Linked DNA regions of Drosophila melanogaster. The protein of the gene in region 2 purifies or fractionates together with the protein of the main gene of each other region. This does not show direct contact. Each region holds a gene or a part of one and is shown on either strand. Other genes may lie near its edges.

The links.
Region 1: the proteins of Swt1 (region 2) and Ald2 purify together in Drosophila melanogaster (affinity purification with mass spectrometry, with the first as the bait; one large-scale study listed by BioGRID). This does not show direct contact.
Region 3: the proteins of Swt1 (region 2) and Cyp6a13 purify together in Drosophila melanogaster (affinity purification with mass spectrometry, with the first as the bait; one large-scale study listed by BioGRID). This does not show direct contact.

What each region holds. Positions count from the first base shown.
Region 1 is NT_033777.3:26,412,503-26,416,799, forward strand, and holds Ald2 (aldolase 2), read left to right. Parts: upstream 1-1,585; 5' UTR 1,586-1,629; coding exon 1,630-2,428; intron 2,429-2,487; coding exon 2,488-2,687; intron 2,688-2,750; coding exon 2,751-2,846; 3' UTR 2,847-3,690; downstream 3,691-4,297.
Region 2 is NC_004354.4:18,088,223-18,092,632, reverse strand, and holds Swt1 (Swt1 RNA endoribonuclease), read left to right. Parts: upstream 1-2,123; 5' UTR 2,124-2,210; coding exon 2,211-2,316; intron 2,317-2,395; coding exon 2,396-2,650; coding exon of another isoform or gene 2,651-2,708; coding exon 2,709-3,338; intron 3,339-3,401; coding exon 3,402-3,625; 3' UTR 3,626-3,908; downstream 3,909-4,410. Other genes in the region: scu (scully), read right to left, coding at 1-681, 1,243-1,251.
Region 3 is NT_033778.4:8,568,859-8,572,782, forward strand, and holds Cyp6a13 (cytochrome P450 6a13), read left to right. Parts: upstream 1-1,640; 5' UTR 1,641-1,672; coding exon 1,673-3,154; 3' UTR 3,155-3,289; downstream 3,290-3,924. UniProt on the Drosophila melanogaster protein: May be involved in the metabolism of insect hormones and in the breakdown of synthetic insecticides.

The DNA.
Region 1 (4,297 bases), on a different chromosome or scaffold from region 2:
GGTAATAACAATAATTACGCCTGACTGACTAAACGCTGACCAGCGGCCAATTTAATATTAAAAAGACAGGAGCCAAGTGGCTGTCCATTGAATTCCCTAACCAATTCAGTGGGTATTACCGGCTGGTAATGATCATTGCTTGATTATTGGAGAGAGCCAAAGGCTGTAAAAAGCCAATTACCAAAACTTTCAAATCGTCTGTGCAGTGTACTGTTAACAGCTTTTTAAAGAAGAGGAAGTTCTGCAGGTTATTTAGTAGGTGTATAAATCAGTAAGAAAAATACACTTTCAATAAAAAATGCTCATTATCTAGCCTTTGGATCGTAATGTCAAAAACGCATACTTAAAAAACCAATTTAAATTTCATTACAACATTAATATTGTATTCATATTATATTGCTCGCCCACCAAAGAGCACCCAATCTTCGGTTTATTAATTAAGTTCCTCGCCATTTTCAATTAAAACGTTTATAGATAATCAATTAATAATTTTCAAGCCGCTTTTCAAGTAACTGGTGGCTACTGGCCGGCTGACTCAGCCGCTCCACGCTCAATTAGGTGCAAAGACATCTCGGCTGGCTGAGCCCGAACCGCAGTGGAGGATTTTCGCAGTTGATCATATTTATTGGCTTTGCGATTAGGCTCGTCGGACTTGCCGATCCGGCGTCTTGCCTCTGGCCTAATTGGGGGATCTAAACTTGAATATTGATGACGGTGTCGGATCGGATCGGATCGGATCGGTTCGGAGGAGAAAAAAACACAACAATCCAAAATGCGATGCAATTGTGGCTGTGCTGGCCGTGTTGTTTGATATTTATCGTACTTAATTTTTCGATGTGTTTGCTGTCTTGGCTATTTTTGGAGAATTTCACGTACGAGACTCATAATTCGTGCGATAATTTACACAAAATTAGGCAACTGTCTAGCCAGCGAACCTTTTAAAGCTATTGGAGCACTCCGATGCGTTTCCCACGCCAATTAGAATTAGTCGTCGGATCGAGCCGAGCTCAATTGAATTTCGAATGGACCTCGAAGTCTGTCAGATAATTGCAAGAGAAAATTGGAAAATTCAATTCACGCTCCGCAAATGGGCCGCAAAATGAAACATCACCTTTTATTCCACTTTGTATTGCCTCTTTTATGACACAGCAGAGCTTCCGCTTATAATTTGTGTTAACAAAACTTTAGCCATAAAACGTCCGAAGTGAAACTCATAAAACGAAATGTGTCGGTGCGGTCAGATATAATTAATGTGAGGCAAGTTTATTCTTTTCTGGCGCTTAATCTTCCCCAAATCTCTGCCTCTGGAAGTTTTTGACTCCCACTCTTTGCCAAAGCAATTAAAAGTCTAATTAGAATGTCATTAGACGGAGGCAAGTGCTAAATGGTCAGGTAGTAGGCAAGTATCGCAATAAATCTAAACTCAGCATCTTGATTAGAAAATATCAAAATAAGTGGTCAATTATAAATGCTTTGCGTAATATCTAATGATTTTGGGCTAAATCTCGTTTCATAACAAATTTTCAATCTAAAATTTAGCTTCCATGATTTTTCTCTCATTTTTTTAATCATTCAAAATTTCTTTCTGGTTTCTCACTTTCGTGAAGTCAAAATTCAAAGTAAACCGCAATGACTACGCATTTCTACTACCCGAACAAGGAGCTGCAGGAAGAACTCATCTGCATATCGAAGGCGTTGGTGGCTCCTGGTAAGGGAATCCTGGCGGCCGACGAGTCCAGTGCAGTGATGGGCAAGCGATTTCAGTTGATCGGTGTGGAGAACACGGAGGAGAATCGCCGGCTATACCGCCAAATGCTATTCACGACCGATCCGAAGATAGCGGAGAATATATCCGGCGTGATATTCTACCATGAAACACTGCATCAGCGTACGGATGACGGACTGCCATTCGTAGAGGCCCTCAGAAAGAAGGGCATCCTGACGGGAATAAAGGTAGACAAGCACTTTTCACCACTCTTCGGCTCCGAGGATGAGTTCACCACCCAGGGTCTGGATGATCTAGCCAATCGATGTGCACAGTACAAGAAGGAGGGCTGCAGCTTTGCCAAGTGGAGGTGCATCCTGAAGATCACTAAGAATACTCCTTCGCCGCAGGCCATTTTGGAAAACGCTAATGTCATGGCCCGGTATGCAGCCATCTGTCAATCGCAGCGACTAGTACCCATCATTAGTCCCGAGGTCCTGGCCACCGGAGATCATGACTTGGATCGGTGTCAGAAGGTCAACGAAATTCTCCTGGCTGGAGTATACAAGGCTCTTAGTGATCACCACGTTTTTCTCGAGGGAACTCTTTTGCAACCCAGCATGGTGATGCCTGGATTGCAGAGCAACAAAAATCATCCGCCAGCGGATATTGGAGTGGCTACAGTTCTCGCCATTAGGCGAAGTGTTCCTCCGGCCGTAATGGGTATGGATGTCTGTAACTAATATATGGGGCTTCTCTAATCTATGCATCCTTTTCTGCAGGAGTACTTTTTTGTGGTGGCGCTCAATCAGAAGAGGAGGCCACGGTCCATTTGAATGCAATTAACAATGTTCCGCTTTGTAAGCCTTGGGCCATGACCTTTGCCTTTGATCGGGCTCTTCAAACATCGATTTTGCGAACTTGGGGTGGCAAGAAGGAGCAGATTAGCCATGCTCAAAATGAACTTATCAAGCGGTGCAGGGTCAGTATAAATAACTAAGAATATAACCTCAAAACTCAAGTATTCTTTTAAAAAATATTTTAGGCCAATGGTCTTGCAAGCATTGGAAAATATGTAATTGGCTCTGTGGAAAGTTCAGCGGCCACTGAAAGACTCATTCAAGAAGCCGTCGAATTCTAAGGAATTCTAATCAGTTAAATAATCAAAATCTTAAATTTAATGGAACCACCTTCGATCTTTGTAGAGTAACAGTTAATTGGTCTGAACAATTTTAATTTTTGTGTTCGTCACAACGTGGGACTAGTATTCTGGAATTCCTAGCGAGTAAAGTGCTCCTTGGTGACTTCTGGCCACCACTTGACCGCAGGCCGTTTATGTGATGCCAGCCAGTCGGGGCGAACAAGTCGAAATATGGTTAACAAGCCTGCAAAGAGCAACATGACTCTTGGAGCGAAGTGTCGGCTTAATCCGCGGAGATTACCAGACGACCGCGCGACACGCAGCTGCGTTCAGAGTTCCAGCTACGCAGCAGCTTAATTAACGCAGGCGCATGCCAAAAACCAAACCGTTGGCCATGTGCAACAGCAACGGCAACAAGAGCAACAACAGCAGCGGCATCAGGGGCAACAACAGCTACAGCAGCAACATCAACAACAACAGCAGCAGCAACAACATAGGCAAGCCCGGGTTGAGTGTTTCGACTTAATCAGGCGGTTCCGAGCCGCTCAAGTCGGTGTCATGTTGTTGGCAAATTAGTCAGACTGCCACCAGGAATCATGGTAAGGTGAGGAGAGGGTTGCACGCAAATAGCAATAATTAAAATTAAAGCAGCCACTAACTTATAGCCTCGCCTTTCGCTGCAAAGTCAGCTCCTCCCAGTTGTCACGCGCAGTATTTTAAAACAAGCAACCAGCCACATTTGCTTCCGAGTGCAAGGACTCAAATGTACTTGGGGAAAATAAGAGTTAATATAGTTAATATAGAAATTCAATAGAATTAAATAAAATATTTTAACTTAACTTACAATATATTTTGATTTGGTTTATACATTTAAATATTTTTGAACACATAGTAAATCAAGATCTGATATAATCCTGGATACGCAGTTCCTCTTTAAGTTTGTGTCGCTTCACCTGCAGATTGTAGCGAAGGTTTGTCGTTAATGCAATCGTCGTGTATCACAGAGCCGCGGGATTGAATCCCCGTGATCCAACACCTCCCCTCGCCCGCACTCGAATTTAATTCTGAGTCCCAATCAGGCCAACGCGTACGACATGTCATGTTAATTGGGCCCCGCATATACGTATACAGCTGCGAGTGTATTCGCCGGTTGTGCATGTGTGTAAATTGCCATTATGCTCATGTTTGCTTAATATGTGGCACACAACACCCACCGAGTTCCGCTCGATTCCAGGCTATAAAGCGGCGGCTATATAGCCATAGCCACTCGACTATAGCAACGGCAGCACGCGACGCGTCAAGCCAATTAAAGCCAAATTATGGCAGCGCTTTTTTAATCACATGCATCGCTCTTCGCCGCTCAGTCGCTCACAATCAGTTACTCGGTTTGGCCGCCTATTCAATCACTCATTCATTCTCTCATTCACTTACTCAATCAGCGGTTTCAATTT
Region 2 (4,410 bases):
CAGGTGGGCGTACTCACTGGGCTCGCCCAGGCGCTGCGGGAACGGTATGGACTTGGCCAGGAAGGTGCGCACCTTCTCCGGCAGGGCGGCCAGCATAGGCGTGTTGAACAAACCCGGTGCAATGGTGCAGATACGTATGCCCTGGGTGCTCAAGTCACGGGCAATGGGCAGGGTCATGCCCACCACGGCTGCCTTGGAGGCGGAGTAGGCCGCCTGGCCGATCTGGCCATCAAAGGCAGCCACCGAGGCGGTGTTCACGATCACGCCGCGCTGTCCATCCTGATTGGGCTCATTGGCGCCCATCAGTCCGGCGGACAGACGGATCACATTGAACGTGCCCACGGTATTGATGTTGATCACCCGCTGGAAGTCTTCCAGGCGGTGCGCCACGTTCTTGTTGAAGTTGAACGTCTTTACCGCGGTGGCTGTGCCCGCACAGTTCACAGTCAGATCCAGACGACCGAACTTATCCTTGGCCGTCTGCAGAGCGGCGCTCACATCCTTCTCGGAGGTCACGTCCACGGGCACGAAGACCACCTTGTCGCCCAGCTCCTTGGCCACCTCGTTGCCCTTGGAGGAGGGCAGATCGGCCAGGATCACGCTGGCGCCCTGCTTGGCCAGGCGCTCGGCGGTGGCGCGGCCCAGTCCAGAGGCTCCTCCGGTCACCAGGGAAACGGCGTTCTGGGGGTGGGAAAGGCATGGGGTTAGAAACTATATATATATGTATATATCCAAGGAAATAGATTCTAAAAATGCACTCCATTCCATTTCATCCCAACTACAACATCAATGTTTAGAGATCTTAACAGAATAAGCATATAGAATGCAAAATATACGATCTGTAGGACTGAGATCCTTATCTTTAACAACATTGAGAAGTTGTCCGTTAAAGTTAGTATAGAAATAGCACGATCCTCAATTTGCAGATAAACTTATAATCCGATGCCGGTTTATCTTATTATTTCGAAAGCAGCTGACCGATGCGTTCGGTGTCCAGTTTCCCGATAAGCCGCATTGTATTATTGTATAACTCGGTGGGGAAGTAATGCTAATTGTTGGCTGGGTACAAGGTACATCGCTGTGGGCAGAGATACAGTTATTTATGGGACTCCATGTTTATAATAGACACGAGTTCACATCCCAATTGGACTTTGCACCCCGGCCGCGCAGTCATCGGCCGCTTTTGCTGCACTAATTCCCGTCTAATCGCAGTGTGATCCTTATTTACAGCACCCCACGTACCTTGATCATTGTTCTGGCTGGTGGCGTTGTGTTGTGGGTGCGAAAGGCGGTGGTTACTTAGTGCTCGGCAAAGCTTTTTAAGCAAAAACTTGTTAAGCGATTCGAAACCGTGCAGTGTGACCGTATGTGCGCCGCTTGAAAATACTGCCTACCGGTTAGGGGGCTCCTATCATTGGCTTAGCTTTTAAATTTTGAGTTTTTTTTTAAATTTAAATTTAAATCAATTTGTTTATTACCAAGCAATTAATTTGCAAGATTTTGAAAGAACTTTTAAATATAAATTACCTCGAGCAGGCAAACAGTGAAGATTTTATTTGGCAAGCTAACTAACTTGGCAACTTATTATTTCAAGAACATGTTTTTGCAACAATTAAGGTGGCAGCATTCAAGTCTTTATAAATGAAATCTTTAGCTATTCAAATTCAATGGCTTAAAACAACTTATGCTATAGATTATTACAGTAAATTTTAGTTATAAGCTATTCATTGTATGAATTCGTATTTAGCTTCCACGCCAAAATGTATGCCGTAGAATTACATATACTCATTTAATTTATTTTATGGTTTATAACTTAAATTAATTTGAACATAAACATTTATGCTTTAAATAAAAACAAAACATTGTTTCTGTTTAATTTAAGATTATTTTCATTTTTAATATTTCTTATTACTTCACTTAATAAATAATAATTAAAAAAAAATATTGCTTATATAAATAAGGAGTATTTTAAATAAATCATAACAAAGTTATATCCGAATTTAATTTATACCCCCAATTTATATACTTTTGTCCTCCGATGTATGGAAGAACATCGATGATTCCTCGAAAAACATCGATGCTTGTGATTGTTTGAAAAGATCGATGATATCGATGATGTCATCGATGTTTCTCCACCTCTAAGTCAGATTGCCTATTGAAATACAAAATAAATGAGTACTTCCTAGAAATCAAATGTTAAAGAACACAATATGTCGCTCGGTGGAGAAAGTAAGCACACGCCAAAGTCTTCCAATCTGAGGCCGTTGGACGACGACCAGCTGGTTAGGATCATCAGCACGCCACGTCCGTCAAATGGTAAAACCCATGCAAACTGCGCGTTTGCCAGAATGCCAGAACCAAGATTCAACTCCACTTTTCCACGCAATATGGCAAGGAGTGAGCCAGCATCCCGCCCAGGACCGCCTCAAGCGCCTGCAGGGCCAACTAAAGCGGGTGCAGGACAACGAGAAGGAGCAGGGGACCACCAAGCGGATCACCCACAGTTCCTCCGCATCTCGTCGATCAAGTGCGTCCACATCTACGCCCCAGCGACTCCTGAAGTTTCCGCCTAAGGTGGCGATGAATGCCTGGGAAAAGCCAAAAGCCCTGGTCGATGCCAATCGCCTGAAGGCGGGACGTACCCAAACTGGTGAGTGCCCGGTGCATATAGTTACTCATATCCCATGTTCTCCTTATCGTCTCCCTAGCCTACCAGCGTCTCATGCTGTTAAGAGCTTCGCTGCAGCAGAAGCAGCTATATGAGGAGCGCAACAACAATATTGTGGCCAAGATCAACGAAGAGGTGATAGAAAAACAACCAGAAGCCTGCAACATCACAAATCCAAGTGCATTTGATGGCTCGACGGCCAGCGATATGGAGGTCGAGCCCATGGAATGGCAGGAGTCTATTGAAGAGGAGGCGGCACAGAATGATCAGGATGAGGCTAAGAAAGGGGACGACACTCTATTGATGCTGCCGGCGGAGTCCATTGAAGAGGAGGCGCCACAGAAAGGTCAGGATGAGGCTAAGGAAGAGGACGACACTATATTGATGCTGCAGGCGGCCGATGCCGAGGAGCTGCCCCCAAGGCTTGAGGATTACATGTACTTTGTGCTGGACACCAACGTCCTCATACACAACCACAAGTTCGTGGAGAGACTGACCGATGTGGTGCTGCCGGGCACGGTGGGCAGCATGCTGTACCTTCCGTACATAGTAATCAAAGAGCTGGACAAGCTAAAGAGCAAGTACCAGTCGGACTGCCTGCAGCGTGTGATTGCCATGCGAGCAATACGCTTTTTGAACACCAAGTTCGACGAAAGCTTTCAAATACAAGGTGGGTCGTGGATTGTGTATGTAAATCGTTGGAACTTACCTATGTGTATTATCTTTGTTGCAGCTCAATCCGCTTTGGAGGAGGCGGATCACCTGATCAAGATCGACTGCCCGGATGACAGCATTTTGAATTGCTGCCTGCAGCTGCAGGCGCAGGTTCCCCACATGATCCTGCTCACCAACGACGCGAACCTTCGGCTCAAGGCCAATGCCTCCAACATTCAGGTCTCCTGTCGCTCTGATCTGATGTCCACCTATGTGGATGAGTTCGCTGGCTTCGGCGATTAACTCGATGCCGTCCGAGCTCCCACCTTACATTTAGTATACGAAAGACTGTGACTGCGTTTGTGATACGGGATCGGGTGGCGGGCGAAAGGGATCGACCAGTCAAGCAAGATGCACCGCGGCATACATGAAGTACAATGAATCTTTATACCCACAAACATCATCTAGCATACATTCAGAGGAAGGCCACTGACGACGTGTTCACCCAAGACTAAAAACTTGCACATATTAGAAGATCAGATTTGACTGCCATTTGCTACGTATAATAAAGTTTGTTTCTGGATATATTTGCCTGGCGATTAGCGTTCTAGAGATAGCCAATCCGCGTGGCCCGGAAGGGCTTCCTCCGATCGAAGATGGCCGGCTCGCTTGTTTGGCTTTAATTAGCCGTACGCTGGAGTTGCCGACTTTGATTGCGCCTTATCGGCTGGGCAAACAAGATCGAAGCAACGGCAGAGGATTCCCCACATCCGCTGGAGTTCACTTGCCCGCTTCGTCGGCCAGATCGAGCTCAAAGCGTACGCAGCGTTCGCCCAGCGCGGTGGTTTCTCTCCTCCCAAACTCACTCCCATGGTGGAAAATTCTGTGCTTTACTCTCGATAGTGACGACTTTATTGCCGCGCGATAACTTAAGCTATACAAAGTGTATGTATTTGGGAGTGTTAAATAGGGTGAATCAATATTTATAGTTGCGAAAGACATGAGGAAAACAACGTGCTCGTAAAATTTTGGGAAATTCCAGTAGCGGAAAGTTTTTCAGTTCATTTAGCGAATAATGCGAATCTCAC
Region 3 (3,924 bases), on a different chromosome or scaffold from region 2:
TTCACTTTACCTCTTAAAGAATAAGTTATATCATCACAATGTACAATAGTACACTTAAACTAAACAATGTATATAGTATTTGTTTACAACCTTATCTTCTAGTACCGTCTAGTTCACCATGGGAAAAAGCTTTGTCGACTCAAAAGCTGAGCAAATGTTTATATGTATATTGTACATATGTTTGATTGTTTGCTTGATTGCCGATTAAGCTCCCGAGATCTATGAAGAAAATTCGTTAGAACCTAACAATAAGCTTTCAAGAAAATACTTCGCGTACCAGTGTGCTGGATAGCTTAATCCAAAGAAGTATCTTGATCGCCATGCGGCTCACTCTCGCATTATTCAGTTTGGTCCCAATGTTGGCTTATATAGATTCTATTACAACACCTACACATATTGGGCCAGAACGGGGAGTGTCCCATGAGCGTCCTCTACCGCTGATTGCAAACATCAAGGGAATCGGCACATAGTGGATCCCGAATCCCAAAGCCGAGTTCAGAAGAAAGGGCCGCATTTACAGTTACCAACTCCAAGTTGGCTAAAAAGTTAAAAATGAAGATTCTTCGCGATGATTTGACCGACTTCTTCTTGTCGGTGGTTAAACCGGCATTAAGCGGAATGACTTTATGGACCAGTCCTCCGAGCGGAGGACGAAGTAGCAGGCAAGGAGGGTCAAAGTTTGATCTCTCCCACAACTGGACCCTGGAGCAAATGGCTGCCCAGGCCATCGTGTTCTTCTTGGCTGGATTCGAGACCTCCTCCAGTACGATGAGCTCTTGTAAGTACGAACTAGCCCTCCAGCCGGAGATCTAGAATCAAATAAGGGATGAAATAGAAAGGGTTCTGGAAGGAAATGCGATTACTTACGACGCCTTAGCTAAAATTAACTATCCAGAACAGGTCTTGTCTGGTAAGCATGGAAAATTTGATAGCGCAACTTAACTTTTAGAAACTCTTCGAAAACATCCAATTAATTAAATTTTTGCTCGAAACACAAGAAAGCTTTAGGGTCCGCAATACTGAGCTCATCGTTGAGAAGGGAACTTCATTACTGATACCTGTGCACAGTGTTCACTACGATCCGCACTTATATCCACATCCAAAACTCTTCGATTCCAGCCGCCTCAAGGCTTATAAGTCCAACTCCCGCCATCCATTTGCATATCTGCCCTTCGGAACATTTGGACCCCGCAGTTGCATAGGTCTGCGTTTTGGCAAAATGCAGGCCAAGATTGGCATTGTGTCAGCGCTTCAAGTTCGGTGATTCAGACCTAACAGACATCCCCTTAGCTTCGGACACTCGCAGCGCCATAGTGGAACGCATATAGACTCGGAATTTTACTAACTTTGGAAAGTTTAGAATGTACTTGTAAAACTTGTAAATAATCTAATAACGCTTAGCCAGTGAAGTTTTTTAAATTTTCAAATAATAATTGATCTGAAAACTGAACATTAGCAACGCTCTATATATTTTGTTTACAAATCATTTGATTCTCATTTAAAATGACGCAAGATATGTTTATGTATGTTTAGATAACTGCAGTTCTTTGCATATAAGACCGATAGAGAAAGAGAGTCCCCGAAAAGAGAGCGAAGCGAAAGCTTTTCAGACGGCAAATCAAATGTACCCCACTTTTCCACTCAGTTGTTATTCTATCGAGCAGTAGGTACCATGCTGACGCTCCTGGTACTCGTGTTCACCGTCGGACTTCTGCTATATGTCAAGCTACGCTGGCATTACAGCTACTGGAGCAGAAGGGGCGTCGCCGGAGAAAGACCCGTGTACTTCCGCGGCAATATGAGTGGGCTGGGAAGGGACCTTCACTGGACGGATATCAACCTGCGGATCTACCGGAAGTTTCGGGGAGTGGAGCGCTACTGCGGCTACTTCACTTTTATGACCAAGTCGCTGTTTATCATGGATCTGGAACTGATCCGCGATATAATGATCAGGGACTTTTCCAGCTTCGCCGATCGAGGACTCTTCCATAATGTGCGGGACGATCCACTGACCGGGAACCTTCTCTTCCTGGACGGACCGGAGTGGCGCTGGTTGCGCCAGAATTTGACGCAGGTGTTCACCTCCGGCAAGATGAAATTCATGTTCCCCAACATGGTGGAGGTGGGCGAGAAGCTAACGCAGGCGTGTCGCCTCCAGGTCGGCGAGATAGAGGCAAAGGATCTGTGTGCCAGGTTCACCACGGATGTGATCGGCAGCTGTGCCTTCGGCCTCGAGTGTAATAGTCTCCAGGATCCGGAGTCGCAGTTCCGGCGAATGGGCCGATCAGTGACCCAGGAGCCCCTGCATTCGGTGCTCGTCCAGGCCTTTATGTTTGCCCAGCCGGAGTTGGCTAGGAAGCTGCGCTTCAGGCTTTTTCGCCCGGAGGTCAGTGAGTTCTTCTTGGACACGGTACGCCAGACATTGGACTACAGGCGACGGGAGAATATTCATCGCAACGACCTGATCCAACTACTAATGGAATTGGGTGAGGAGGGAGTAAAAGACGCCCTCTCCTTCGAGCAGATTGCGGCCCAGGCATTGGTTTTCTTTTTGGCCGGGTTCGACACCTCCTCCACCACCATGTCCTTCTGCCTGTATGAGCTGGCCCTCAACCCCGATGTCCAAGAAAGGCTACGGGTTGAGGTACTCGCCGTTTTGAAACGCAACAACCAAAAGCTCACGTACGACTCCGTTCAGGAGATGCCCTACCTGGACCAAGTGGTTGCCGAGACGCTTCGCAAGTATCCTATACTGCCTCACTTACTGAGGCGTTCCACCAAGGAGTACCAGATACCGAATAGCAACCTAATCCTGGAGCCGGGATCTAAGATAATAATACCTGTGCATAGTATTCATCACGACCCAGAGCTTTATCCCGATCCAGAAAAGTTTGATCCCAGTCGCTTTGAGCCAGAAGAGATTAAGGCTAGGCATCCTTTCGCCTATTTGCCTTTTGGCGAGGGTCCTCGAAATTGCATAGGCGAGCGTTTTGGTAAACTGCAAGTGAAGGTGGGTCTTGTATACCTTCTAAGGGATTTTAAGTTCAGCAGGTCGGAGAAAACACAGATCCCGCTGAAGTTTTCCAGTCGTAATTTCCTGATATCCACCCAGGAGGGAGTTCATTTGAGGATGGAAGGACTTGAAAGACCATAATAGTTGTTATCTGAAAATGTGTATAATCCTGACAGCGCGAAATATGTATAGGAAAACTCTTATCTACAAAAGACTGCGTTCCAAGATTGCATTAATCCCTACATTATACAAATAAACACAAAGAAACTGTCTAGTATCAAAAAGCTTTTTTTACAATTGAATAATGATAGATAAATAAATAAAAAAGAATTCAATTTTAGAGAGGGAGAGAAACGACTTAAAAATATGTTTTGACTGGAAATTTGAATTCTTAAAAGAAGGTGTCTTTGAATTTAAATATTAACCAATCCGAATTTTAGATGTATGTACATACATATAAAATAAAAGCTTTTAAAAGCCAGTCTTGTATATACTCTCTGTCAGAATACTGTGCTCAAAAGCTTTATAATAATAAAATTTAATTTAGAAATCTTTAATAACAAGGATAGTTTAAAATCTAATTTAGGTTGTCCTAACGTTTGGCAAGCCAAATTATAATAAGATAAGATACATTACAGAACAAAAATATTTCTAAATATTTAGGGAAAACTTTATGTTATGTTTCAAAATAAATAAATAAAGTAATTCAGTTTTCACATGGGAAAAACTTACTCCACATTTACTTAAATTGTGAAATGAAAATTTTATTATCAAATCATAAGTTAAGCATTTATTACAGACATATTATTACATTATTACAGTTCCATAGCATTTCTTAAGCGACAATAAAGCTAATTGCTATAGCACTCAAGTTGGTGGATGACATGGACAAACCCATGGACTCAGCTTTA